2 linked regions of the Lepisosteus oculatus genome follow. The protein of the gene in region 1 purifies or fractionates together with the protein of each later gene. This does not show direct contact. Links are inferred from orthologs where the notes say so. Each region holds a gene or a part of one and is shown on either strand. Other genes may lie near its edges.

Region 1 (15,127 bases):
CGTCCCCAGGAGATCATTGATTTGGCTTTGGCAAATATTACAGCATGGAAAAGAGACAGACAACAGCACAGAAACACTGGTGATTTCACTGCTCAGCTCCTTCTCTCTCCACTCTTTGAAATTGTCATGAATCCAATTAAAATGAAAATCAGAAAATAACTACTGTGTAGCTGCCCATCTCTTCCATACGTATGTATGAGTACTTCAATGCTGTACAGTAATGATTTCAGGCAAAAATCCTTTCAGGTAAAAAAAAGTTATAAGATACTAATAAAGACAAATGCAAGAAATGCAGAAAAGCTGTTCATGATTTTATCACTCACTGTCAGTCAAGTTACAAATATTCTTTTACAATTTTGATATACAGCCTATAATATCCCACCATGTGACATACTCTGGTTAGGTTTTGATTTAGAGGGAGTTGGAAAATAAGCATGATTTTCTCGCTCTCTCGCTCTCTCGCTCTCTCGCTCTCTCGCTCTCTCGCTCTCTCGCTCTCTCGCTCTCTCTGGGGGTAGCAAGTTTGTCAAGTCAATCTGCCGAAACCAGCAACTCTTTCAAGACATATTACAGTTCAATTCTTTCAGAATCTTTTGACAACTTTGCAGCATTATTAAGTATTAGCACAAAACATGGAACACATGGAAACATAACTTTGAGAACTTTACAGTTCTTTGTAGTGCCTTGTCACCTTGGCAGGAGAGCTTGATAAACATGCTTTAGGACCCTTCTTGCCCTATAGATAACTAGCATGAGCACAAAAGACATGCTGAGCAGGCTGGCTTCGGCTTAGAAAGAGCACAACAAAAGAGAAATGGCACGCCTGAGACCCCACACGCACTAAAGAATTCTGAGGCGTTTCTTGGGAAGCTAGGCCCATCATTCCTAATTTTATCCCGAGGCTTGGGTCAGGAAAGGTGACCGGTCCTTGTGAAAATCATGCGGGACCTTGGTGGATATGGAGGGACATTGGAGATGGAGGAGGCTGGAAGATGCATGGCCTGTTTTTACAGCTGTGTCAATGCCACCATCCTCACTAACTCAGTCAGCCCACTAAGGTCCTCACCAAGCTCTCTGTTCATAAAGCAGCCACGTATTGAAAAAAAAAAACTATTCTTTTATGCCCGATGTATTTTCAAGTAATAAACATACCCAGATAAAAATGTACCCAGAAACGTGTATTTTTTAACTGCAGGATCGAAACCTGCTGCTCACAAACATAAGTGCACAATGTGGATACCTAGTTATCTGAGCTCTTGCTGGTCTTCTGTCAGAGTCTCTGTACAAGCCGACCAGGTGCTGCAACTCACCCCCATTATCTTCCCGCGCTGCTCCACATCCTCCCACATGGAGTGCACGATGTAGCGGCACATGTACTTCCCCGCACGGCCCTCCTGTCTCATTCGCACGAGGCACATCCTGCAGGAGGACAGAGCACAGTGGCCTGAGCATCACAGCACTCCACACCGCAAGGGAGCTGCCTTTCCACTGGGATTCACCTCAGGCTGTTGCTGCAGGATATATAAGAGTCAGGAAGCATAGCACACAGCAGGACCAGGTACACGTGTGGTGTGAGCAAGATTCAGCCATCATTTTTCTAAGGGCTACTACGAAAATAATGTATTTTGTGAGCGTAATTCGTAAGATGAAGTCAATACATCATAGTGTGTTCCAATAACCAGATTGTAAGGTTAACAATTAAGCTCTATTTTACAGTTTGCCAGTGAGATTAATATTACTATTAAGGAATAGGGACAGGTTCTGTTCAAGGAGATGATATATGTTGTATATTATGTATTCTAGGGTGCAAGGCTCCCCACCACTGTCATCCAATTAATCAGCTAAAGACAAAGCACTTCATCTGACCGTGGTTTGACACAGTGAAGAAACACGGCAAGCAGGAGAAGACAACAGTTAGTCAGGGAACCTTGTGCTCTTGCTTCTTTCTTGTTCCTCTTTCTCAAACAACTCTCTTCCACAGCGCACCTCAGCAAGCCTGAAGAACAGCACTGTGTTTGACATATTTGTATTATTTAATAAATTATTATCCTGTGTTTTGTTTTTGCAATAAAATCACTGCAAACAATACATTCTTTGAAATTTATTTTCTTTGAAATTAAGCAAATATTAAGTTAAAAGTAAAATGGAACTGTGCTATTCATTCCACTCAATGCAGTTATTGAGATGTAAGTGTACAAATGGGGTTTTCTGCCAGAGCAAAAGGCATTAAGGACCTGCATCTGTTGATGATAGAGAGTTCTAAAAGGGAACCTGTAAGGTGTTTGGCAAGAAAATAGCTATAATTTAAAGGCCTGCTCACAGGGCTGGGCATGACTGGTGCTGTCCTGGAGCCTGAAGTGTCCAAGCCCAGAGCAGAACAGGAGTGCATTGAGGTTTGTCCTGTCTCTGGATCACTCACTGGGAGGTGGGAGAATGTAAATATCACAGCTGGGATTAAAGATTACTACAGCTGTCAGCTAAAATCACTCAAACCTTGCTTTACGTAAATGTGGAACTTTTCCTGTCATGCAAATGAAAAGCAAACTTTCTGCTCTGAAAGCTGTGAAATCCAGTAACAAACCTGTCCCCAGGTGTTTGGACTGAGTTTGTTGGGGAGTGACATACATTCTCAAGAATTAAAAGCAACAGGAAATGTCATGAAAATACAAGAATGTCACTCCAACAGCACTGCGGTTTTAGATTTTTCCAACCTCACTTAATATTTATTTCATCAGTGATGCCAAACTATCTAATAGATCAAACTAATGCCTCAGTTTTAAAACAGTGAAAAATATCCAGACAGGTCACTAAGACAGTAGGAAACTGTTTCAGCATTTGAATCAATGTAGTTAAAAAAAGCTGAAAAAAAACAGACTCACCTCAAAAAATAACTTAAAAACCAAGCTCAGTAAAAATAAAAAGAAAGGTCTATAATTGCAAAGATAAGAAAGTAAAAACTATTACTGTGTTAGCTGTAGTAGTTCAGGTGGGTAGCTGCGTCAGCATGCGTAGGCTGCAAAGGAAGAAGTAATAAGTTTATTCCATGCTTGAAAAAAATGTTCAATTTCAGCATGGAATAAACCTATTACTTTGTTAGTTTGAAACGATATTAACTGCATATTATTGTTTCACTGGTTCTTATTCTGCTATGGATCCTACTTAAAGAATACTATAGCTAATTATTTTAAATACTACCCATCCATTTTCTAAAAGGTCTATATAATACAGGGCTGTGCGAGAGCCAGACGTATTGGGACAAGCAGCAGGCACAAGGCGGGATACACCCTAGACAGGAAAACCGTCCATCGCAGGCATATTTCAAATGCTAATGAAGATTAACAAGAATCACATTAATAAGACCAATGAATCTTGTTTCGAAGGAAACATGTATGAAGCAAATTATGTATAAATGCCACTATAAAATATGTCCGAGCTCTGCACTCACCAGACATGGAGCTGGGCCACAAGAAACCAGGAGTTGAGTGTGTCTGGGAGGGAACACTCTGCACACAGAAAACCAGGGGTCAGTCAACTTCCTCTTCACCTCGGACTCAACACAGGCCACATCCTCTAACACACAACGTACCACTCAGCACTAATACTCTAAGCTTGATGAGATGGAAAGTCACTAATTTATTTATACATCAAAAAGCTGCAGGAGTTAAATGCGTTCAGTCCACCTGTGTACAGGCATGGACTTGCCCTGGTCAAAATGTGTAAACATTTCTGACATGCCTGGACCAGAAGATGCAAGCAGAAGTACTTTCTACAGAGTTCAAGCTACTTTATGTGTCCTGTGAAAACCTCAGTACAGGCTTTCCAACAATCTCAGCAGGATCCCATCTCTCATTTTAATTCACTTTTAGGAGAATACTATTTTTTCACAATTAATCATGCCTTTTATCATGTAAAAGTTGATTCTGTCCTATTTAATAATGACTACATTTTAAAATCATGATGATCACCCACTGATCATAACGTTGGCGAACACTTACTTTCAAAAAAGTCATCATAGTTAATTCTTTCCACACAGCAGGTGTACATGCGCAATGCAGCAATCTTAATTTTCTGTTGAAAAACAATGAAAAAACAAACAAAACTTCAATTTATTACTGTGAGTATTAATCACCAATAGCTGGAACAGATGAGGCCTGGAATGGGCCTCTGAATCTTGAGTAATAAATATGCTGACACACTGCGGTTACTGGATGAAAAGCAGCTTAAGCTTAACCTTCAAGAGAATTTGGTCTTTTTTATGTCACCTTTGCTACACTTTGAGCATTATGAACACATAATTCAAATTCACACGTTATAAAAAGCAGAGGGTTTGGCTTGCACCAACAATGCCATAATGAGGGAGGAATGTGCATCATGGATAAATTACACTCTAAGCCAATGAGCAAATAACTGACTTGGCTGCTCCTCTCTGAGCTCAGCCACAGCTGCTCTGTATAACATTATTTCATGAGCTTGTGCAACTCTGAATCTGTAACTCTACTACCATCTCCTTCTGCACAGCTGTGCGCCTGCTGTTGTGGCTCGAGCTGGGGACACTGCGTATGGAGCGTCGGTCAGAGGGAGGCAACTGGTGCAAGCCGAAAAGGTACAAGGTTTCCACTATAAACTGGCAACTACCAAACCCTCGCAGGACTTCAAGCATTAATGTGAAATTCCAACACATCATGTGTCCCCTTCCACTGTAAATCAATCTCTTGCTACCACACATTTTCCCATCATATCTCTCTATTGACTTGTCTTTTTATATATGAGCCCTTTTAAAAAAAGAGTTGAACCACTGGAGCACAACCTGGCTCACTCACAAAAGATTTTCATAGACGTAGAAGTATGCAGCATGCATCCCCAGAACTGTAAACACTGATTTCCACTGCCAGAGTAAGGCTACAATGCATAATCATGAAGTCTGGAAAGTAGGAAGCAATGAAAAAGGGAACAACTATATATCAGTTGGCATTTGAGTGAAGATCCCTCTTAGCCTACTGATGCGACAGGCTCAGCTCAAGTATGGCTGCTGGCATGTGACTGAAGACAAGACCAGAAGGGCAGGTAAGCATGACCCAGAGGAATGAAAAGGCACACACCTACTGAGTCAGACAGTCTAGCAGAGGGGATGCAAGATCATTTACCCATTTATTATATTTGAGAGGACCAGTGAATCCCATGGCTTCAATAAGTTTGGTGAAAGCTCCCACTTCTTCTTCTGACGCCTGTGGTGTCTGTTTTACTGAGAAGAGCTGTGCGGGGAAAAAAAGTGCATTACAGTGAGTGAAACAACCACAGCACAGCAGCAGTGCAATGCTATAGGACCTTATGACCCACAAATACCACTTGCTGCACTCTCTGGAAATCATGACCTTCTAACATCTTTTCCTGCAGACTGTATCTTACAACATCTTACAATATCGTACCTGTGCAGTGCTGTGAAATGTCCTGCTCTGAGACAGTGGCCAGGAACACAGCTCCATTCTTCTGTGAACTTCAAGGGTTCTGGATAAACAAGCTCCCATCTGCCGAGTCTAAAACATAACGAAAACAATAATAAATGTTTCCCAAAAGTGCAGCAAGTATAATACAGCAGTAGCCCATTTTGTGCAAAACATGTTCAAGAAAACACCTATCTGATTTTAGAGTACTCATCACCAAATGAGTAGTCACTTAAACGTGGTTCGGACTGCTCCCTCAAACACAGAGCACAATGCATGTTGGGTGTTGTAGTTTGTCGGTAAAGTATGTCAGGCATTGTCATGATAACTTGAATTAAATATGAGTACTGCAATACCACATAGGAAAGTGTCATATTAGTAAGAAGCTGCATCAAAGTCGATTACATTAGTAACAATTAATCCACAAGCAAGAATATATACAGCTACTGTAAAATCTACTATCAGTCATGACTGTACCAGAATAAGGAGATCAACACCCATACTCCTCCTCTCCTCAAAATTAATGTGAAACTAATAAGCAACACCAAGCTAACAAGCTGTGATGTCTTCTGAGCTGTTAGCTACTGGCAATGCTGAAGATCTTTCTGAAAGAGGATGGTGATGTGCCATAGTGATTTCCCTTAGCCATCGTAGTGTTCATTCTGCCATGAGCTTGGTCAGGGCAACCAGACATTCCGTATAAGAACCAACACAGAAAGCAGAGGAGGATTTCTTCAGACAATGCGGTGCAAATCAGTCATAATCGTCTACTTGCTGTTACAGAATGACAACACGTGAATCCCTTCTACCACAGTAATGGATACAGCATGCAACTGAGCTTAGATCATTACATTTCTAAACATTAAGCTTCAGAATACAGCACTACGAAAACAACCTATAGAAAGGAGACCAGGGAATCAGCCTTAACAACATAATTAAGCACCTTATTTCAGACTCCCAGAACCTTGTGTTTTAAGAGCGCGTCTTGAATGATATCGGAAATTGCACACGATATTAAACTTCTACTCCTTATTTTGTGATGATTGGAATGCTGTCGGTAGACAATAACCTTGCACGCAAGGATTCGCGAGATACAAATCTTGCCACAAAACTTCACTAACAAACTCGTATTAAATTTAGGGGACTGAACACTACGTCACAAATGGGCTACTTTAGTATCCACAAATTGAGAAATTTCCGTCATTTTAGAGAAAGTTTCATTGTGGAGCCAGCAGGTAAAATGCACGTTATAAGCGCAACCTTCAAAGACAACATATTCAATTAAATATATCCTGTCACAAGGCAAACTCATGGCTGCAAAGTCTTTCCTACAGCTAAGGTATTTACCTTGACAAGCGTCCCGCAGTGTGAAGTAAAAGAGACGCCGCTCCTTACAGCAGATTGCATAACTCGCCGATACATTTTCCTCTATTGAAAAATAATCTTGCCAGATGAAAAAAAAATACTTGAAAGTCGAAATATTATTTTGGATCCAGTCTGCACGTTTTGTAATCCTCCTGTCACCGCCCCTCCTCCTGCAATGTCAAAGGAACCCGTCCTACCGCGATATCCGCCCGGACAGGAATCTGTGTCTATAGCAACGGGTCCGCCTGCAGATTGAGAGCACACGGAGGACTGCAGTAACCTCGTCAAAACAGCATCGTTATGCCAACAAAATTAATATCAGAACGTAAAATGCAATGTTTCAAAATAAATAAATTCTGGATTTTCAAAGTCAATATACAATATAAAACTCAGCAGTGAAACTGCATTACTGTAGACACTAAGCATTAGACTTAATCATTAATCATCCATTTGTTCATTTTTAAGTAGACATCTTTGCATTGCAAACATGAAAGAAACACAGATATTATCCTTTAAACCCAGTGAGGTTATCAATATATTTAGCTTGCAGGGGGCATTGACTCCTCAGCCAAACACGTGCACCAAATGTCTGAGCCTGCAGTTCCTCTTGTACTTAGCAGGATTATCAATATATATAACTGCTTATCAATATCTTAAATATAATTTCACATTTTAATGTTCTGGTTTCCACAGGAAACGGAGTCAGACTCACAGCCCAGAAGGGCGATGCTGATTCTACAGGGCAGCAGAAAGACACTGCTGGCTTAGCTGATACAGTATGTCCCATCTTCTTCGCTGCTGTCTGTCTTTTCCCAGGTGAACAAAAAAGGTAGAAGAAATACGTGCTGGTCATTTGCCACCCAAGGCATCAGAATGAGGTGCCAATGCGAGGGTGCCCAACAGAGCTCACCATGACAGTGCTGTGCAGCACATGACCAGATATCTTGCAAGACAACAGCTGCTGAACCGGCCAGGGAGTGGGCTCATCCTGTACTGGGATTTTCCACCAATTTCAGGGTTAACTACAAGGGATAGCCATTGACTGATTTAGCCCATTCTTGAACAGAGATATAACCTAACCCCAAATTCAAAATGTGGACAAAGTTTCCTTCATTAAAATGTTTCAAGAATATGTTTTGACAATATCCTAGTGAACAAGGACAATTGTTCATTACATATAATGAAAGTGTATTGTGCTACGATAGTTTCCCTGACTATACCAGAGATCTGCTCTGCTGTGATCCAAGTATTGCACAATGCTTTAAAAATCCCAGGACACATGGCGAAGGGGTGCAAAGGGCTGATAACTCCAGTGGTGGTGAAATGTCACTCTGGGCTTGCAAATCTTAATTCAATAAGTGAAGTGTCAAACATGTCCACTTGCTGTGCTGTGCACTGGGGCAGGTGGCCCAGAATGGCTGCCAAGTGTCACCCAGATGCACTTCCCCACTGCAAGAAGGGTCCCCTCCTGGATGTAACGCACCGAGGGACCCTTTGTCCTGAAGGGTGTGGGAAAGAGATACTAATATAATATTCTGTACTTTTTCTGCTTTCACCCTGATTTACCTTTTGCTTTACTATACCAGCAGCCATATCACCCTGCAACTTACAACAGGCAACCCACTGAAGCTAAGCAGGTGTGAGCCTGGTCAGTACCTGGATGGGAGACCTCCTGGGAAAAACTAAGGTTGCTGCTGGAAGAGGTGTTAGTGGGGCCAGCAGGGGGTGCTCACTCTACAGTCCATGTGGGTCCTAATACCCCAGTATAGTGACGGGGACACTATACTGTAAACAGGTGCTGTCCTTTGGATGAGATGTAAATGAGATGTGGTCATTAAAAATCCCAAGGGTGTGTCTCGTAAAGAGTAGGGGTGTAACCCTGGCGTCCTGGCCAAATTTCCCATTGGTCCTTACCAATAATGGCCTCCTAATAATCCCCATCTCTGAACTGGCTTCATTACTCTGCTCTCCTCCCCACTAATAGCTGGTGTGTGGGGAGCGTTCTGGTGAACTATGGCTGCGGTCGCATCATCCAGGTGGAAGATGCACATTGGTGGTGGTGGAGGGGATCCCCATTACCTGTAAAGTGCTTTGAGTGGAGTGTCCAGAAAAGTGCTATATAAGTGTAGGCAATTATTATTATTATTATTATTATACCCTACTGTGCTTTTAGCATCATAATGAGCATTTACAGAAAACACAAAATCATTGACAAAGCAGGCTAAATCAGAATGCTTATTCCTTCCTGTAGCCAGTTGTTTGTATGTTGAGTCTCTATGTCCATTCCCTCCTGGACGGTGGCAGCTGGATTGTATGGGGCCGTGGAACTGGACTCTGCATTCAGCGTGGCCAGAGCTTTGGCCCTCAATAGCTCTCGTCTGTGTGCTGATTACACAGTGGAAATACGTCTGCATGCTTCACCTGGGATTTAAACATAAACTCTCCTGACCACTTCATTATTGACAGGCCTGCTTGGTATGGGGAGTAATTGGAGATTCAGTTTTGTTTGCAAATGGTGAGTGACAGGGCAGGTAACAAAGTACCATGCTACTGAAAAGGTGACGTAGTGCAGAAACCTTCCCTTACTGTCTGACTGAGCAGTTCAGTGTGGAAAATGTGAGAAGTTTAGACAGCACCAACAGGGTACAGTCTTACAGCATGAATATGAGCAAACTCTGTACTTCTATAATGTGGGTTTGAGTGACTTTGTGATTGTAGATTCAAATGGCTTCTCTTTGCTACCTGAGAGCTAGTACCAACCAATATTTCTACTTCTTTCTACTTCGTCAGAAAGTAAGAAAAATTAGTTCAAGATGAAATAATAATTTGAATTTCTATAATTTGTGCCTCACAGATTTCTTTTAAAACTGTACATAGAATTTAAAATTTACACTCCACACCACTGGACTTTTGAAATTCCTTCAGCAGGTCCGGTGGAGTGCTGTGGATTCCCCTTTCTTTCTTGAACACACAGGAATCTCAGAACATAAGAGATCCAAAGAAAGCATATAGTAGGCCAGGAAAGCCCTTGATCTTGGAATGATGGAGAGATGGAGAAAAACCCAGACCTCATCACTAAGCTATGTCTGCCCTGTTGTCCACACTTCATAAGCCTAACTCAACCTATCTGCCTCTCTTTTGGGATGATATGTACTGTAAGTACATACAGGGTACTGACACCCTGTTGTTATTGAGTAAATTCTCTCCTGAAACTTTACTACCTCTTGTTAGGATAAATGAATGCCAAATAAAATCAGGACCATTATATCTTAACAAAAATATTTATTGCACTTATTAAATCATTGAATTACTTTATTTTGTTTTAGTGTCCTGCAACTCTATGCACCAACGCGTCTCCTTTCCTTATGGATTTTCTGTTTTTTTTTAACTGTACCCCTGTGGCCTCTCAACCCAGACTTGGTGCTGGGCCCTAATGGGACCCTGTTCCTGGCTCCATCCTAAGTGGTCCTGGAAACATTTCTGATGCATTGTCACTTGCTGCAAATTAGGCACCTGAAAAAGCAAAGTAGTTAACTGTCTTCACAGATAGGAGGGTGTTAAAAACATGATGTCATGTTTCCATACCCCTCAAAGACCCCCCCCCCCACACACACACACAGCCCCACCCCTGAGGAAGCCAGACCACTACAGCACTTTGATTTAACAGTGTTTATTTTCTCTTTCTCTTAAACTCCTAAATCACTGTATTCCCTACATAATCATTAGACTTTTCTCCTCAGAAATTCTGCAAGCTTACTTCATTTCGTTTTTAGTTACCGTCTGTCTTCATGTTCTCTGCTTTTAAAACAAACACAGTTTCCGTTTCACATGGCTGAGCACAGCAACTTTTAAGGATTGCTTTTGATTCATAAGACGTCTGAATACCTTTGGTTTAATACAATAAGTAAAATAGACGTTATGTTAAATGTTAAAACTCCAAGGTAAGAAAAACAGTTGGAAGATATTTTTCATAAATTTCTTCAGAACTGTCTTTGTCTCTGTGGTGTTCACTTTGTTCACTGTATGGTGTAAAATCATGCTGTTTGACTGCAGTTCTTTCTTTTCATTCACTATAAATTCACCATATATTCACTAAGCTGGTAAACAAGAATACTGCTTCTCTTCTACCAAATCCACACTGTGGATATTATTGGAGGTTCATTCTATCATCCTTTCTTTTCTCTGTTAGAGAGAGAAAAACAATTTATTAAAGCTGCGCACCAGTTTTTTAAAGTTCTTCAAAAGCAAAAAAGATTTATCTTTAAGGACATTAATCAGTATCTTTATTTAGCGTTAAGATATTAAAAGCTTTTCATTTCTACAAGTCCTTGAGGGGGTTCAGCTCTGTGTTCCCACTGAAACACCAACACTGATGAGTTGGTCCCTGTTCCAGATGTGACTTCAGCTGGTCCAACAAAAGCAAAACCTTTACAGCACAAAGACACATACTGTAGATTCTATGTGCTTAGAAAGAAATAATTCTTTTTATCCTGTAAAACTACCAATAATTTGAAATTAGAGAAAAACAGAAAACAAAGCACGAGTTTTGCATCCATGTGAAAGATTATCTATAGCATTAAATAATTATGATTATTTTGTTGTTGTTAAAAGGATTTTCAAAGGTATCAGTCATTCCTGTGCCCCAGCACAGCGCCATGAGTAACCACTGAGTCTGCCTCCTGCTGACTCTCTGGATCTTCTCTGATTGGGCTACTCAAAACCGATGCATGCCTGACTGCAGGGCTGCAGCAGACCTCATGGCTGGCCCATTACTAAATCTGTCATTTTGGTTATGATCATTTGCAAATTCCTGTGTTCAAGGTCCATTAACAATGACACTCACTTCACAAACAACCAACCAGTAAGTGGAACCATTTTTCATTCATATTGTGGTCTGTTTGAGTTTCACCAGCTGCAAAACAGAACTGTTAAAGATCGCTATGCCAAAATGCATGCTAATATGCAAATTAAAAACTAAAAATCTGCACCTGACAACTTGCTGGCAGGGCCCTGGTATGAGATTAATGTTGGATAAGTACCTGATTTCACAGCTCCCAAGCTGTAAAGCAAGCAAAACCACGCATCGCTGCGCCTGCAAATTGTTCAAAGGCATCCAGGCATCAGGCAGTTTCCTACCCCAGCCTCATCCAAAAATCACAAAATATGTAATGTACTTTTGCATGAAAGATTGAGAAAAATAATACATAAACCCTGCAGTATACACACGTAAAAGTACCAAAAACACTTGGGGCTTTGAAATGGGGATGTTTTCACAGAGGGGAGTGGATGAGGTAATGTTTTAATTGTCTGTAAGTTGCTCTTGAAAGGCTGTTTATGGTAGGTTAGAAATTTCCTCCATGGTGTTGATTTTTCAGCTTTCTTATTTTCTGGTTAAATTTTGGGACTGCAGCAGAATTCGTAGTTTAAATCAGATGAACTCCAGTTGGAGACGTCCAGACTCTAGAGTCATGTACTGTACATACTGTACAACACTAGAATTTTAAACTCTTGTTATGATAGATATGCTTAATCTTGCTTTTAACTTTGTAAATCCATTCCTCACACAGTCTAATTAATCTGAATCCATACTTTCATCTGGGTTGAAATGGATTTAAAATGGATTCTGAAACACATGCAAAAAGCATGCGGTATGTACAATTTTCCATTGGCTTCGGGTGGTATAAGCACACGGCACTGCAAATTTGAAGCTCTTTAATGCCACTTGTGCATGGCAAAGATGTGATGGGCGAGATTCTGGTTCATATTTCTGTCATCATTGAGATAATCATTCAGGCGTTCTCTCATACTTAGACCAGCTCCAAGTGAAAGTTTCACTGTAGAGAAAAAGACATGAGCTCACCCTTACTGCTTGGCAGACAGATGCATTGCTCATCTATCACTATTCACCTGTGCTTAAAGCCTGGGGATCTGCAGACATGCCCCTTGAGAAAGAGCCTTCATCTTAGAAACAGGGTTTCTAAGCCTGCTTGGGTGGTGGTTACTGTGTTGAACTGCACCTAGGAGCCTAATGGGATCATAGCCTATCTGAGAAAAAAAACATTTGATGAATAGAAGTCCATAAATGAAAATGTTTCTGTTGATATAAGATTAAAATAATTGCACTAGAACGAAAGTGGACCACACTCCAGGGAAAGTTGTTGCTAGTTTTGCCATTTCTAATTATTTTCTGATTTATTTCCTGTGTGTTCATCATTGTGTTTTGATGTAGTTTTCACTACATACTTACTAAGTTGCTGAAACTCTGTTCTTATTTCTTTACTTGTTTTGACTTGTTCTGAGTTTTGAAAATTAAAATGAATCTGAAATTTAAAAATTAATTTTGTGATTGTAATGCACATTGATGTCAATATAATTGTTGTGTCATTGAAAGCAATAATGCTCATCATTACTCCCAGAATGTAGTTTAATGAAGAGTTTCTGTAATATTCCATTACATATTTTGGCTGTTGCTGGAACTTTAGCGTAACATTTTAAAATATGCATATTTTCCTATGATAAAACTGATCATCATGAGCCTTCTCCTTCATGCTCCTTCAGGTCATTAATGGTTCTTATAAGATCTTGAATGCTGACTCACTGCTGAATAAAGTGGCCAAGGAAAGGGAGTAAGACGATTTTCATTGTAGCTGATCAATGTTATGAAGTCTCAGGACTCCCAGCAACTATTAACAAGGTCAAGTGTCAAACACCGGTGATGGACTGGTTGTAGCCTTGTTGATGCAGTGCCCAAAGCAAAGCCAACTTTGTGTTAATGCCCCATTGTAGCCATGCCAGACAACAGCTCCCAGTCTGCTGAATCCAGCAGTTTATTCTGTTTGTCATAGCTGTCAGAAAATAAAAGGTTTAGAATTGCTCATAGAAGAGGGTGAAGAAAGCTTCTAAAAAGCAAGACAGGAAATGGAAACAAATGAAAGAGGTATACTCAGGAGGTAAAAAGTCACTTCTACAATTCTGTGTTATATTTCAGCAGCACAAAGATTTTGTCTGGAAACAATAAACATTTTAACATTCCAATAGCACTGTCGTTAATCATGCATGTTTGCCCAGCTCTACAGGTGTATCTAATAGCACTCATAAGAAAGTTCAGCAGAGCACGGTCAGTACAGGCAAGGGTTGCAGCAGACTGATTTATAGAGCCTTGTTACTTTCTTGTGGGAGAAGGCAGAGATTGGAAGACAGTTGCAATGCAAACAGGAAAAATATATTTTGTATGAAAAGAAACTCTTACTTGCTCTATCCAATAAACTCAGTCCCTGGCATTTCTGAAAAACCACATCCTTCACATGATTTGATACAATTCTGATGGACAGGTTTTAAAAATCGAGTGCTTGGTGAAAATTCAAAGTTTAGATACAGTTTTAAAAGAAATGTATTGGAACAAAGTAATAATCTACAAAATGACTATCTCAAAAGAAGTTGTAGTGAATCACTAATTCAAGGGTAACATAACATAACTTGATATGTAAAGAAAAGGTAAAAGTCCAAATATTTTTCCACCTCTAGAATAATAGAAATAATAATGAAACTCAACTGATCAAAAAGCACAATACTGTACAGAAACTGAAGTATTTTTTATTGCAATAAGATTTAATTCTTCAAAATGAAAAAAGAGAAAAAACTTAGCCAGATTAAATGCTTTACTCAGGAAACTAACAACCCACATCCTTTCCCTTGAGTGAAACATGCTATCGCTTTTCACTTGGGTCTGATTAATAAAGAGTGATTAATGAAGACAAGAGAGGAAACATCAGCTTCCCTGATCTGCTCCTGTTTCTGTGAGAAAGCTTGGGAAAGAAAGCAACAATAAATTACCACAGTCTGGGGAGCTTTCTCGCTGTGGGCCTGCAGTGCTGCAGTGGAATTCCTTGGAGTGGCTCAGGTCTGTCCCACTCGCATTGCCACAGTCCTGCCGGACAATGGGAAGAAAAACACACCAGCCACATAAAACCCACGGGCTGCCAGGGGCTGAGCCTGCATGCCAAAACAACAGGGACGAAAGCGCTTGTGGGTGGGAGGGTTCACCGAAAGAAAACTACAGGGTGACAGTTCCATCAGCATCTTATACCTGTAATTAAAAAAATTGCAAACATTTGCAAAAAGTATTCAAGAGATGTAAATATTTTATCCTCATAGGCTTAGTACACTCTGGCACAATGCGAACATGCAGTTTGTATATCTGAGCACTGCAGCACTGTGATACTGCAAAGTGAATTGAAAAAGCAGCAGAACAGAAAGCTGTAGCAGGAGCAGCAGTTACACTTGTATCTGAAACTTGGCAGGAGCCGTTCATATGCCTGTGA
Region 2 (15,221 bases), on another chromosome or scaffold:
TGCAGTGTGGACAGGGGTGTGGGGTGAGTACTGCAGTGTGGACAGGGGCGTGGTAAGAGTACTGCAGTGTGGACAGGGGCGTGGTAAGAGTACTGCAGTGTGGACAGGGGCGAGGGGAGAGTACTGCAGTGTGGACAGGGGTGTGGGGTGAGTACTGCAGTGTGGACAGGGGCGAGGGGAGAGTACTGCAGTGTGGACAGGGGCGAGGGGAGAGTACTGCAGTGTGGACAGGGGCGAGGGGAGAGGACTGCAGTGTGGACAGGGGCGAGGGGAGAGGACTGCAGTGTGGACAGGGGCGAGGGGAGAGGACTGCAGTGTGGACAGGGGCGAGGGGAGAGGACTGCAGTGTGGACAGGGGCGAGGGGTGAGTACTGCAGTGTGGACAGGGGCGTGGGGAGAGTACTGCAGTGTGGACAGGGGTGTGGGGAGAGTACTGCAGTGTGGACAGGGGCGAGGGGAGAGGACTGCAGTGTGGACAGGGGCGAGGGGAGAGGACTGCAGTGTGGACAGGGGCGAGGGGAGAGGACTGCAGTGTGGACAGGGGCGAGGGGAGAGGACTGCAGTGTGGACAGGGGCGAGGGGTGAGTACTGCAGTGTGGACAGGGGCGTGGGGAGAGTACTGCAGTGTGGACAGGGGCGTGGGGAGAGTACTGCAGTGTGGACAGGGGTGTGGGGTGAGGACTGCAGTGTGGACAGGGGCGAGGGGAGAGGACTGCAGTGTGGACAGGGGCGAGGGGAGAGGACTGCAGTGTGGACAGGGGCGAGGGGAGAGGACTGCAGTGTGGACAGGGGCGAGGGGAGAGGACTGCAGTGTGGACAGGGGTGTGGGGTGAGTACTGCAGTGTGGACAGGGGCGAGGGGAGAGGACTGCAGTGTGGACAGGGGCGAGGGGAGAGGACTGCAGTGTGGACAGGGGCGAGGGGAGAGTACTGCAGTGTGGACAGGGGCGAGGGGAGAGGACTGCAGTGTGGACAGGGGCGAGGGGAGAGGACTGCAGTGTGGACAGGGGCGAGGGGAGAGGACTGCAGTGTGGACAGGGGCGAGGGGAGAGGACTGCAGTGTGGACAGGGGCGAGGGGAGAGGACTGCAGTGTGGACAGGGGTGTGGGGTGAGTACTGCAGTGTGGACAGGGGCGAGGGGAGAGGACTGCAGTGTGGACAGGGGCGAGGGGAGAGTACTGCAGTGTGGACAGGGGCGAGGGGAGAGGACTGCAGTGTGGACAGGGGCGAGGGGTGAGTACTGCAGTGTGGACAGGGGCGAGGGGTGAGTACTGCAGTGTGGACAGGGGCGTGGGGAGAGTACTGCAGTGTGGACAGGGGTGTGGGGAGAGGACTGCAGTGTGGACAGGGGTGTGGGGTGAGTACTGCAGTGTGGACAGGGGCGAGGGGAGAGGACTGCAGTGTGGACAGGGGTGTGGGGAGAGGACTGCAGTGTGGACAGGGGTGTGGGGTGAGTACTGCAGTGTGGACAGGGGCGAGGGGAGAGGACTGCAGTGTGGACAGGGGCGAGGGGAGAGGACTGCAGTGTGGACAGGGGCGAGGGGAGAGGACTGCAGTGTGGACAGGGTTGAAGGTGAGTACTGCAGTGTGGACAGGGGCGAGGGGAGAGTACTGCAGTGTGGACTCCTGCACAGGGGCGTGGAGTGAGTACTGCAGTGTGGACAGGGTTGAGGGTGAGTACTGCGGGGGTGTGGACTGCATAAGGGCGCGGGGGGGAGTACTGCGGGGGTGCCTCAGCAGAGAGGTGCCTGGTGCAGGAGTTCAGAATCGGCCCACAGCTGGCTTTCCACTCTGAGCAACTCTTTTTTTCAAAAGATGGTACCAAGATCGACCTCTTCATGTAACAACATCTGTTTCTGTCTTCCCCCCGTATTCCTCTCCACTCCCCTCCCTCTCCCAGGTACGGCTCTTACCTGGTGTGGCGAGACCTGGGCGGCTTCACTGAAGATGCTCTGGTTCCGCTCGGCCTGTATGGGGCACAGCTCGCATTGAACTGGGCCTGGACGCCCATCTTCTTCGGGGCACACAAACTGAAGCTGGTACGGTATGGCTTCCACTAACAGTGACCATAGCAGTGCAGCTCCATACCGTGACTCTTGTGCCTCGCTCGTCTTGAGTGTGTTTTCTGCATTACATAGAAAAAACTGAAAACTGCAGGTCGTGCTGAATCGGCGTGTGTGATTCTATGAAGAAGGCAAGCACCGATCGTGTTCCTCTCTGTCTCAGTCTTCCCCTGATCTCCTCCTCTATCACTTCCTCTTTTTGTCTGTCTGTTTCCTGTAGTGTCAGCCCTCGGATAAATTAACCAGTGGGGAAAGGGGAGTCCGTTATTGAAGAATGTCCATTAAAACAGGAATGACGTTTTTTTCAGCCCCAGAACACACTATAAGTTAAAAATATATATATACACTGTATACTGGATATACTTTCAAGATTTATTGATTTATTCTTTAGCATAGCATCAACAAAGTCATGGACAATTATTCCTGTGCCTTTTTTCTCATAAAGATACAAGCTCGTTATTTCATGAAATTGAACATTTCGTAAATATTCTGTATAAAATTCACTAAAGCATATGAAACCCAAACAACACCCTTTGTAGGTTAATCGTCAACCCCTAAAGGGCACCATTGATATTCCTGAATTTGAAATCTATGTAGTATTTATTTTACCTCCTTTTCCCACAGCTTTTTTTTTTTGCATACTGTTAGTATGTTAGTGTATTTGTGTGTTTTAAAAACAACTATTATGAGCAGTTTGCCAATCCCCCTGTCTCAGGCAGGGTTAGTTCCGCGATAATGCCGATGTTTCCGAGCCCTGCCTCTTCTCCGCTGCGCCCCTGCTCCGAGTGGCCGAGCAGAGGGGCGCTGTGTCAGCGGCCGCTGTGCCATGTGTCTCCCCTGCAGGCCCTGATCGAGGTCGTGCTGCTGACGGGCACGGCAGGCGCCACCGCGCTGTCCTGGTACCCCGTCAACAAGACGGCAGCGTTGCTCATGGTGCCCTACCTCATGTGGCTCTGCCTGGCCACCGGCCTCACTTACTGCATCTGGAGGGACAACCCCGACAAGCAGGACTGAAAAAGGGGTGTCCGAGCCCCTCCCTGCACAATGGAGGAGGCTTCTGGGAAGTGCCTGCGTCACCTGTGCCAGGGCTGCACAGCGGCAACAGAGGGTCGTCTTCTCCCTCTCTCATTTTGTATGTACTTTTGGAGTTAATAAAATAGTTTGAGATTAATGTATGTCTTGTCAGTATTTCTGTCCTTGATGTGTTGTTTTAACTGTCTGAGCTTTTGTCAGGAACTGTGTGCTCTCACATGGTTTAAACCTCTCGCCCATATCCCGCGGTGCTCGCTCAGCGGTGGTGGTCTTCAGCCGAACGGCCGCAGGGGCAGAGGGAGTTGCCTCCTGGGAGCGTTTCCACAAGCTCCAGTCCAGGCTTTCATTCCAGCTGGGTTTACCTGATGCGTGTGGCATGTGACACAGCAGGGCGTGGAGATTGTGGCTGGAAAGAAAGTCTGGACGGAGGCTGGCCCGGAGCCGAGACCCAGTGCTCTTGAGTGGGGGCAGTTGAACTTGTCTCTTCCACCTCGCTCCAGCGTCTTTGGCCCAGCTGACCCACAGCAGGGTCCGTGAGGTCATTGAGAGTCAATCAAACCTGCAGCCCTGGTCCTGGAAAGTCCTGTGAGCTTTATTCCACCAAGCTCAGTTCCTCACAGTTGACCCAGTGGAAGACGTGAAGCTCCGTTTGCAGACTTTAATCTGGGGGTGACTTCACGCTCGAAAAGCCAGAGAGGTCAGGACCTGACTGAACCACGCTGACCCAGCCTCCTGCGTGATCTCACGAGTGACAGGCGTGTCGACACTGTGGGCGAGTGTAGAGGGTAAGTGGGGTGCCTGGCTGTGCCTGTTAGCTCTTGGAGGAAGGGCAGGGTGCAGTCGGGGCTCTTATCAGCCTGCCTCAGAGAGGGAGGGGCTGTTGCCATTTACTGCTCCTTATCAGACAGCACAGAGCAGTGCTGGAGCTCCAGCAGGGGTCCAGATATTGATAAGTGAAGGGTGTCAGGCTCCAGCAGGACCACAGAGCGTCCAATTTAGTTTAAAATACCTGGTCTAATTCACAGGACAAACTTAATCCAAACTCCATCCAAGGTCAAAGGCATTCTGCTACTATGCTGCAAGTACACACATCAAACACTGATTCTTAAGTGTAGGGCAAAGAAACTAGTGATACTTTATTTAAATGTGATGTTTAATTTTTAAAAAATGGCATTACAGTATACACTCATCCGCACGCTACAGTATGTACAGGAGCTGTGTGAGGTCGGGGTTACTCCTTTGCACCCTCTTCTGGCGACTTGGAGGAAAAGCGCGCCATTAATTTCTTCCACATCCCTTTCTTCGCATCTTCCATTTGCTGCAAACTGTCTGCAGAGAGAGGACAGACCTGTCAGCCCCAAATCAGGATTCCTCAGACGAACTGAGGATGCGAGAACAGCGCTCTCTGGCTGGAGGCTCTGTGACTAATCTTTCCCATGTTTTTTTAAAAGGGGTCTGAGTAAGTCACCTTTTACAAGATAATAATAATAATAATTGCTTACACTTATATAGCGCTTTTCTGGACACTCCACTCAGAGCACTTTACAGGTAATGGGGACTGCCCTCCACCACCACCAGTGTGCAGCCCCACCCGGATGATGCGACGGCACCCATAGTGCGCCAGAACGCTCACCACACACCAGCTATCAGTGGGGAGGAGAGCAGAGTAATGGAGGCAATTCATAGATGGGGATTGTTAGGAGGCCATGATAAGGACCAATGGGAAATTTGTCCAGGACACCAGAGTTAAGTTAAACCCCTACTCTTTTAGAGAAACACCCTGGGATTTTTAATGACCACAGAGTCAGGACCTTGGTTTTACATCTCATCCGAAGGACGGCGCCTGTTTACAGTATAGTGTCCCCGTTACTATACTGGGGCATTAGGACCTACATGGACCACAGGGTGAGCGCCCCCTGCTGGCCCCACTAACACCTCTTCCAGCAGCAACCTTAGTTTTTCCCAGGAGGTCTCCCATCCAGGTACTGACCAGGCTCACACCTGCTTAGCTTCAGTGGGCTGCCAGTTGTGAGTTGCAGAGTGATATGGCTGCTGGCAAAGATGACTGTGTGAAGAAATTACTCCCGTTTTTGAATTCTGTACCTTGGTTTTTGTTCTAAAATGTAAATAAAACACTGATGCGTGTAGTACATCTGTACTACAAACAACAGTAGTAGTAGTACATCTGTAAAGAAACAATTGTAACCAACCACAATTCTCCCAAAACACTAAAAAAGTGTTTAGTGTTCGACGTAGGGCCTGTCTTGTACAAGCGCTGAGACTCGGTTTATCAGTGCCGCAGGGCTAGACCAGAGGGGCTCAAGGGCGCGCGTACCTGTTGCCAGAACCATCCTGCACTCCTCCACCGTCACGCCCGTGAAGCTCGTGTCCTGCGCCCGAGGGAACTGCGCGACCAGGCAGCGCCGGTTACCAGGTAAACCGGAAACCGGAGATATAAAAAAGACATGTAAGATATCATATAGTTTTTTTTTAAAGGTAAGGTTTTACTTCTCTATAATTTATCGAGTACTGAAGTGGAGAATGGGTTCAATATTTGTCATTTTATTTATATTTAAAAAATGTTTAAATTCTCTAAACAACGTTCAGGAAACTATAAGCTACTTACCTTCTGTTTATAAAAATTAGTATTGATACGAGCTAAACTCTCGTACATCTGATCACACTTCTCTGCATCTGCGATCTGAAAGTAAGAAATACAGCATAGTTAATTCAATTACTGTGAAATTTAAAATCTATAACAAAAACCTGAATTTAAACTATCGGATATTATTGTTTCTTCTTTTTGAACGTCAGTAATGTCACAGACCATGAGTAATACCCATCCTATACATTTACTTGATGTAAATTTAATTGAACAAGTCTACGAACGCTGACGAATCTGCAGATATGAACGAGAAACTAGTTACGACATGACGAATCTGCTGCGGAGAGAAATGAGATACACAACTGATTTGTAGGTTTGTGTTTGTAAAGGTCGACCATTGAATCTCATTTGAATTCCGTTTCAAGTGCACTTCACACCAAAGCCTCCAAATGCTTTAACGAAAACCCGGCGAATCATTTACAGTTTTCAGTATAGTATACTTCACGGACTAAGAAATCTCACACTTTAACAGTTTAGCCTGTATAAACAAATAGCATGCGTTTGAAGTTAGGGTTAAAAGAAGTCGCGGTAAACACTAAAACCGTAGTGAAATGGAGACCGCCGTCATATGTGGTCTTGCTGTTTAGGTCTGTGTACAAAGGTTCGGACACTCTTCACCACGTAATAATCCTACAATATCAAGCAAGCAGAAACACCCCTCTTGCTGAAACGCTTTAACGGCACGATTGACACCCTCCTCTCCCCCCGCTTCACTGTTCGCATGACGCCGCTGGAGCCTCGGTCACTTCCCCTGCCCGCTCACCTGAGTGCTTTCCCCCTCCCGGAAGGCCAGGGCCACCTTCTGCCGCAGAAAGGTGCCCAGGTCCCGGCCCTTCTTGGTCTCGTCTCTCGGCCACTCTTCACACAGCCGGAGGAAGCGGCGGTACCGAGTAGCCGACATGTTCGCTGTCACGGACACGCGCGGCCGGGGGAGGGAGCTGTTTGGTAACAGCGAGCTTATGAAACACTGGAACAAGTAATAGGTTTATTCCATGCTGAAAAAAAGAAGAAAGAAAACGTTTCGGCCGTAGAGCCTTATGAAACACTGGCTCTTTACGTGTCAAGAGAGCTGTGGTCCGCGGGGGGCTTTAAGATTATTTTATGCTGATTTCACGTTATTCTTTAAATAAAAAAATAAAAACATTGTTTTACACAGACATCTAGCTTTCCGCAGAGTTGCGGAAAGTAGTTTGAAAACCCCTGGTCTTCAAGGGCTCGAATCATTGGCGGTTTTAGTAGGAAACCTTATTTACCGGTGAACGAGTGTTCCGTATGTGAACAGTGACAGCTGCTAAACAGTGTGTGTTCAGTAGTTGGGTGAGATAAACCGCCATCATCAAAAAGATGTTAGCTATCAAAAATATTCAAAGGAATGCCAAAGATGAGATGTCACTGTCTTTGTCTTTGAGGGTCACTCTCTGTCCACTCACCTCTGACCTGTATCGTATTTTGATCTGTCTGCCTCAGGTTCTGAGTGGGGCTTTGTGCCCAGTACTGCCAGAGCTAATGAGGAGTAAGGAGACAGGGTCTTGGGTCTGCAATCAGACAGAGGGCACACTGGTTCCCAGTAAGTCCTCGAATGGTGTTTTGGTACCTGCACTGGTTTCCAGCACCACTTGATCTGGTCCGTCCTGTTTTTCAAACCCTGGACCTCTGGCAGGAGGAAAGACCCTGACTCTCCGGTGCCACAAAACACGCACCTACACATGAGAGCAGAACACCCCCTCCCCCCACTTTAATACTCACTGTGCTGACAATTCTAACACTGGAAACATATTACACTTTGGTTACAGACGCGTTACAGAGTCTTCATGTACAGCAATACAAATTGAAAAGGAAAAGCCTAACTAAGAAGCTAAGTTTTGTTTTATACTTCAATGATGCAGGTGGCTCAGTAATGGTTAGAGATGCTGCCTCATGGCTGTTGGGTCCCGAGTTTGATTCAGGACTTGGAAAGATTGTGTGGAGTTTGCATGTTTCCCTGTGTCCACGTGGCCTTTCTCAGTGTGCTCCAGTTTCCTTCCACCCTTCAAAGCCATGCTGGCTGGTTAATTTGTTCCTCAAAATTCACAATGTGTGTGTGAATATCTTATAACTCACAGCCATTAGTATGAGTAAGTAACGGGGACCCATCTCTCTGCAGTGTGAGTTGCTGGTTTTTAAGGCACCTGTGTACAAATCACTGAAGTCGTGCATGATACAGCGATCAGGTATCTTGGAAGCTTCAGCTCCAGAACTGATGTCAGTTTACTCTATTTTTGAGCTTTTGGCATCTCCCTGTGGCCCCCTTCTCTCCCTGATCTTTTTAACTTGCAGTAAATGAACAACAGACCAACAAGTTCCTCCAAATGGAGTGTATGAGCCAGTCAGAGTCTTTGTCTACAGTCTTTATACATCATCCAGCCCTGGCGAGGTCAGTCTTCAGAAAGCTGCCCGCCAGTGGGAGTCGTCATTCTCCATCGCGGATCTCCTTCAGGATACCAATGAGGTTGTCCAGGCCGAAGATGTAGCCCTGGTCTGGGCCGTCGTAGGCAGGGGTGTGGGGGTGGTGGGCGCCGCGGAAGGTGGTGTGGGCGAAATCGATCATACGGACGTCCACACTGGGGGAGGCGGAGGGGCTCTCCACACCCTCGTAGATGAGCAGCAGGGAGCTGGAGTAGAAGCGGTAGGAGCCCTGGCGCTGGAGGACAGCGCGCAGCTGGCCGAGTCGCTGCAGAATCGGGCCGATCAGCTCACGACGCACCCATCGCCCATTGTGCAGGAACTGGCACAGCGCCTGCCGCAGACCCGCCCCCGACAGCGTCCGGCCGTAGTACTTGTTCCGGCACAGGAAGTGGTCAGAGGTCACCTGGAACACCTGTGGGGAAGAGCTGCTGAGGGTCAGCAGAGTCGTGGATTGGAGCAGAGAGGAGGAACGTGGCAGGGGAGAGGGGAGAGGGGAGAGGAGAGAGGAGGGAGGAACCGAAAGGGCTGGAGAGGCGGGACCAGACAGACAGACAGACAGACAGACAGACAGAAGGGCAGGGCAGGCTGCTGTGCCTTACTTGCATGCCCCCCAGCCGCAGGCCGAGTGAGGAGGAGGTGCTCTGCTCACACTTCTTCATGTGTCTCCTCTTCTTCTCCTCGGGTGCATCGTCGCCGTGCTGCCGTGTGCCCATCTTCAGGTCCAGCACGCAGGGACGCATGAATGGCCACACCACGTTCTCCAGCAGCACGAACCCTGAGCGCAGCGTCAAGGAGAGAACGCCTGCAGGCCTGGGAGATTGCGATCAGGGTGGATCTCTGAATTTAATGACTCACTGCTGACCTTGTGCTGTTGTGCTGTTTTTCGCAACCAGTTTCCCTTTGTGTTTATTATCTGCCACAGACCCTCTGTGTGTCACTGAACCTGGATTCTGTTGTAGTTTGTTTCTTTTGTTGTTAATCATTTTTGCTGAATGGCTGCTACTGTTACAGTTATTCCGTTGATCTGTCTTGTGTGCAAATCAACTAGTTCTCTGCACAAGGGAATTCTGGACAGATTGGCATTTGCTGTGTGTACTGGTTACTGAGGAAACGTGTGGGGTACCCAAATGTGCTGCATTGCAGTCTCCAAACAGTAGAAATTTAAAGAGCCAGCTGGTGCATCTTTCAGGAATTTAATAAAAAAGGTCACTAGCTGTGCTTATGGTTAAAGGGGATTTCTTTTCATTTTGCTTTTAAAGAAATATCAAGCAGTGTTTCTCAACTGGTCAGCATTGCTCCGGGGACTGGTGCCGACCAGGGGTCGAGAAAGATGAATCTAAGGAAGTATTTGTCTCCAAGCTTTATGGGCCCTGGATTCCATCTAGAATTCCTGATTCTGCTGCCTCAGACTCGGACTTGCATGACTGCTCCTGGCAAGTGATGTGAAGAGGCAGGATACTCCTGTCCATGAATGGTAAGACCTGACTTTCCTATTGTGCTCTTGTTTCTTCTGTCTAAAACTGCTGCTGGTTTCTGAGTCTGTCAGCCTGAAAGGCAGCAGTGTTTGGTCTTTGTTCTGGTTTGACATAATAATAATAATAATAATAATAATAATAATAATTCCTTACACTTGTGATGCGCTTTTCTGGACACTCCACTCCATGAGCAGTGGACAGAGTGAGCGGCAGTTCAGTGCCCTGTGTTGTGTTTCTTGCAGTTTGTCCTTGCTCACGATACTCCATGTTGCTCAGGACACATGTCGGAATGATTCTGCAGGAGGCCTGGATGCTTACAGACCTCCAGGAATAGACTTCCTGAGCTGAAATTGGCTGACAGCTAGTCCAAGCAGTGGGGCTTGAGGGATTGATGACCACAAGGGGCTGCTGTTTCCCTTTGAGTGATAATCAGTTCTTGCAAAACAGAAGCATAGGGAAAGTGAAAGGGAGACGATTTAACAAGAACACAAGAGTCGTAAAAGATACAGTGCAGCACGTTGGAGGCGCCCTGAGAGGACATGCGGGAGAGCTGCGCACGGTGGCAGCGCAGGCCCCAGGGGTTGTGGCTGTTCTGCTCTGAGAGCTTGCTCTCATTCCCATTGGGGTCCTCCATGTGGAAAGGCACGTCAGAGCCGAGCCCCCTCCCAGTGCAGCCCAGAGTCCTGGGAGGAGAAAAGGGCACAGTCACCAGCTTTACCCCACCCAGTGGTTCCTGGATATAATTTACTTGTGAACTAAATTAAGTGGTTCCTGGACATCTTTTGTGCTCTAGAATTTTATGGAAATTTGACTCAGCTGTTTACATTCTTTTAAGCAGTTATTACTGCTATGAACTGGGCCTAATGGGACTGGAGTGCTGATGTGTTTGTGAGACATGAAGGACCAGAGATTCCCCCAGCTGAAAAAACTGCAGGGTTGTATTTCACGGTGACTTTGTTAGTGTTGGATTATCACAAAAGAAAACAATGAGTGAGAGCACTTGATTGAGCTCTTCTGATCTGGTCGTGTTCAGTTTGTGTTATAGTCAGAATAAGATCCTGTTCTGTTAGCTCTGCTGGTGTACTGTACCTTAGCTGTGCACCTCTGTCATTTTCCTCTTCTGTAGCTCACCTGTCATGGTGGGATCTGTCCTGCAGGGGGCTCTCTCTGATTTCCTGGTGATCAGGACTGCTGGCCTTGGTTTTCTTGTTCCTGTGGGCCTTGGGAGATGGCGGAGCTGGGCTCTGGTTGTCCTTATGGGGAGAGGCCACCAGTACCAGTTGCCCACTGCTGTCTCTCTCCAGGCTCACTGAGATCAACCCTATGGGGAGCGGAGGGTCAGGGAGTTTGACTTGGCTTAACTCTAAGTACCACCACCCTCACCCCATAGCCCAAGCATCCTGTGAACAGAGCAGCTTCTGCTGTTACTCATATTCCTCCTGTAAAATCTATTTTTGTGGTTTATTGGCTCTGTACTGCACTAATGCCAATGCACCCCTGTCACTCCTCTTATAATGTGCACCAGTGAAGGGCTAGTGTGTGTTTTAATGCAAGTCAAATTTCACATCACATATTATCATATTCTTGCATTCTTTATTAGCCCTATACAATTTCTTGCATTAGGAATGCATCTTTTCGCATATCACGATATCCTATAGGCTAAGAGTGGTTTCTTATTCAGTAAAAGGGAATTTTTATTTTTTATAAATCCTGTGTTTTTAGATTGTATCCTTGTCACAAAGTAGTTAGTGAAAGCCTTGTAGTGCTGCCTGCTTGAATCTTCTCACGTGAAGCCAAGAAAGTAACCTAGAAAAAACAAATAAATCAGTGGAGTTTGAGCACAAAGAGACTTGGAGAGAGGATCATAGGGGCAGACCCAGTGGCCGCTGCCTGTGGGTGTTGGCACTGGTAAGGAGAAACACATCGCATAACAGGACTGGAAACACAAGGTAACGTCATTTCCTGAATCAATGGATTATCAATCCTAATCCTGCTGCTTTGGCTGTTAAATTCATACAAGTGAAAATGTGCATTACATAAACTGCTCTTAGTAGGATTCTGTAACTGCTTGATTTTGACAGCTCCCCACACTCCGCCCCCTCACCTTGTGTACCCAGTAACCCTTTGTCCTGGCCCCGTCCCAGAACCCTAGAAGCAGCACTGCTGTTTCTGCTGAGGCAGGGGTGTCTTTCCCTGTACAGGTTATTTTGGTTTTATTGCTGTGTTCACTTGCCCTCCCAGGCTGAAACAGCCCCGCTGAGGTGCTCCCCCTAAATGTCTTGTCTACAGCTGGGTGTTCAGGCTGTCATCCCTGTCTGCCCCATGGCCTGGAGCTCTGTAGGTAAGCCCAGAGCCTACTGCAGACCACACGGTCTCCTTCCACTCCCAGTCAAACTGTAGGGAAGAGCATGCATGTGTGCAGAAACCAAAAAGAGAAATTAAAGAGGAGCCGATGTAGACAGAGTTAAATCTGGCAGCTCATCCTTATCTCGGTGAAAAGGAGACTTTGTTGAGATTTTAGGAAGAACTGTCATGACACTGGAGATATTTTCTAAAATATTTTGTTCTCAGATTTTTGCCTGTTATAATAATAATGCAACAAATTTGGCCCAACCAAATAGACCTGTCCTGCTGGCTTTCTCTACCTGTCTTTACCAAGGTGCAGTGGGGCTGGGGTGACTTATGGGGAGACAACTAGCTGGAAACTGTTGAAGCACAGTGTTAGGAATCGAATGGTTAGAATATTCCTCTAATTCAGGCTCCGATGGCAGCAGCCCAGAAACCCAGGGAACAGAATTTCTCTCAGGGTGGGTAAACTGTGCAAAGTGCTCCCACACTTCTGCAACTCCTCAGCAACCACAACCTCTAATAAACACACAAACAGCAATGATGGAAAGCATCCTGTGTGTGTTCACCAGTACAGGGGTACCCCATCTGCACTGCCTCTTCTCAACACGCAGAATACTGTTATTTCCAGTTAACCCTAGATGTTCAAAACAGCACTGCTGGGACAGCAGAGGCTCAGTGGATGAATATGGAAGTTCCTGGCTATGGAGTGAGGGTTTATCTTATCTGTTTGATTGCATTTTGCATGTATTGGGGAAATTTGCTGCTTTGCTATTCTTGGGACCAGGTGTACCCTCTGTTGAGACAGTACACTTGGGCTGTGGTGCAGACAGGATTGTTGCAGTCCATTCCTAGCGTACTGCAGTGTATAGGCTGTCCCGTATGGACTGTGATAGCACTGATCTGTAATATATAGTGGGGCTAAAAAAGTAAACATCGGAGGCAGCATCTCTGTAACTGTCTGTCCAGTTTACTTGATGGGATCATGTGAATGGTTACAGACAGATTCTTCTCAGAGGTGATTCCAAAATTCCACCATCCTCATGTTTCTCAGCTAATGACTTTTAACCCCTAGCCAGAACCAGCCTTCAGCCTCTGGCAGGTGTTAATTATATTATCAATACAAGCTGTGCATGTTGACCTAGAACACTTTAGAATAAAATACTGTTCTTCTTTCCTTTTGCTGTGATAAGCTACTAACAAAAGAATAGTTGTCTGGGTTGTCTGCCTGCAAGGTTATTACCACCTCTGAAACATTTTGATGTTTAGTTTGTTTAGTTGCTTACAGAAAGGGCCAAGTTGTACAGCCTGTTCTCTAGTCTGGACAGGATGTGATCTGTCCAGCTGGTGTGAGTCAGAGGGGTCAGTTTTTACATCCACACCCCCCCCCCTCCCCATCCTGGAGTCAACAGGGTGTTAAATATGAAAGGAGCCCCTCATGAGAGCGGAATGCAGGAGACACTGGACACCAGATCAGATCCTCCTTTCACAGAGCAGTCACGCTAGCTCTGAGGGACCATCTACAAACTCCCCTTTTCTTTTTCAAATGCACAGTACATTTTGTGTGTGTACCCACTTTTCTCTGTGGTGCAGACCTTTCGCAATAATTGTTAGAGCAAGCCAACTATTGTACATGTATCTTATTTGTGTGGCCGTATAGTTATTACATATCATCCTTGGCAAAATAAAATATCTATCACCCAGTGATGACGTACACAAGAGTCTACAGGACCTAAAATCTGAAGTGGCTCAAACTGGAGTCCTGTTTGATAGGCTGTTTCATGTAGTATTGTGCTACAGCCTACAGTCTGTCTCTGCAATTCCTGTAATGGGTGCCAGGGTGTTGCTGTAGCTGTGGGAGGTGACTACAGATATGCAGACTGACTTCTGACCTAACAGAGTTGCGAACCTCCCAACTTGCATTACTCAGGGTCTGGGCCCAACACTGCACATTAATGGGGCCTACAGCTACAGTTTAACAGGGAGTGCAGTGGTCCTCACTGTTAACCACAGGAGGGATTGTGACTGATATTTCTGGACTGGGTCTTAGAGCTTAAGGGCAATTTTCTTTGATATCGGTGTATATTTCTTTAAGTAAGATAAAGTTTAAAATGCAAATTCTAATAATGTCGAGAGACAAACTTTGTTATTGTTTTATCCTTAGATTGTCCTAGATTGTCCTGTATTAGTGCTGGAACAGCAGCCTGAGCTTCCCTGTGCCCTGAGGCAAGAGCAGTTTGCACTGGCCTGCGTTTCAACAGGGCTCCAAACCACTATCTGATCCCTTCAGCCTCAACAGCCCCTAAAATACCTAGCGCTTCACGCCTCAGACTGCATTCCTGATGAATATTTTTGGGGAAACCTGAACCCTGACCCTATTTTTCATACGTGCTCAGAGGGGCGTCCCTGGCTGGGGTGCTGTGCTGGGCGGGACGTATGATCCAGGTTCAGACAGCTATAGAGCAGACTTTCTAGTACAGCCTGCACTGATGGGGCAGAAAGACAAATGTTTTTATGTTTTTTTAACAGTTTTACTATGGTAAAAGTGTAGTAGGCAGCAGTGAAATGAGGTAAAACACTACCAAGGAGGCTCTGGTCCTTGAGAGGAGAGGATACAATCGAAAAGCAGAATTCTGGACCATCTATCCTGGTTCCCAGACATTGTAGGCATCCTGCCTGCTCTCCAGCATCAGAGAATTCATTTCACAGGTTGCATTTATCATTTTAAATAGAGAATTATGTGGAATAATGTGGTTGGGTAGTTTAAGTGAAACCACTGCCTTAAAGTTTGCCACAGCTTGTCAGCCTTTTATTTGGCTCCACTTCAGAAAGTTTGTACATACTAGGTCAGCCGCAGTCCAATGAACAGTCTTCTTTGATAATGTCCCATTGAAGTGATTTAGTCTTGTCAGACTGGTTTCTGTTCCACCTTTCTTTTTCTGTTTAAAATGCAGGATCTGCACTTGGTTTTCTGATGTTGGGGCCCCAATCTGGAATGGTCAGATACCAGCAAATCCCCGGGCTAAGGCTCATGGGAACCATCATGCAGCGCTACTGTCTGCTGAAGAACTGCCAAGGCCTCTGCTGTACCATTTACTGTAGGTCTGTGGATGTCCAGTCAAGCTCAGAGGCAACTGATTTACAGCACACCTCCGCACCATTTTCTCTTCTACCCCCCACACGCAGCACCAGGGGG

Evidence for each region.
Region 2: the proteins of uqcc1 (region 1) and uqcc2 purify together in Homo sapiens (co-immunoprecipitation; 3 studies listed by BioGRID and IntAct, counting the BioPlex papers as one, with this or other methods). This does not show direct contact. The link is inferred for Lepisosteus oculatus from reciprocal best matches to the Homo sapiens genes UQCC1 and UQCC2.

The regions. Positions count from the first base shown.
Region 1 is NC_090711.1:174,072-189,198, forward strand, and holds the start of uqcc1 (ubiquinol-cytochrome c reductase complex assembly factor 1), read right to left. Parts: upstream 7,009-15,127; 5' UTR 6,864-7,008; coding exon 6,789-6,863; intron 5,535-6,788; coding exon 5,427-5,534; intron 5,253-5,426; coding exon 5,145-5,252; intron 4,069-5,144; coding exon 3,996-4,068; intron 3,504-3,995; coding exon 3,446-3,503; intron 1,420-3,445; coding exon 1,311-1,419; intron 1-1,310. UniProt on the Homo sapiens protein: Required for the assembly of the ubiquinol-cytochrome c reductase complex (mitochondrial respiratory chain complex III or cytochrome b-c1 complex). Involved in cytochrome b translation and/or stability.
Region 2 is NC_090700.1:40,731,580-40,746,800, reverse strand, and holds uqcc2 (ubiquinol-cytochrome-c reductase complex assembly factor 2), read right to left. Parts: upstream 6,721-15,221; 5' UTR 6,661-6,720; coding exon 6,523-6,660; intron 5,796-6,522; coding exon 5,721-5,795; intron 5,500-5,720; coding exon 5,430-5,499; intron 4,424-5,429; coding exon 4,326-4,423; 3' UTR 4,230-4,325; downstream 1-4,229. Other genes in the region: tspo (translocator protein), read left to right, coding at 1,900-2,038, 2,906-3,076; inositol hexakisphosphate kinase 3, read right to left, coding at 8,209-8,616, 8,804-8,979, 10,187-10,362, 10,811-11,000.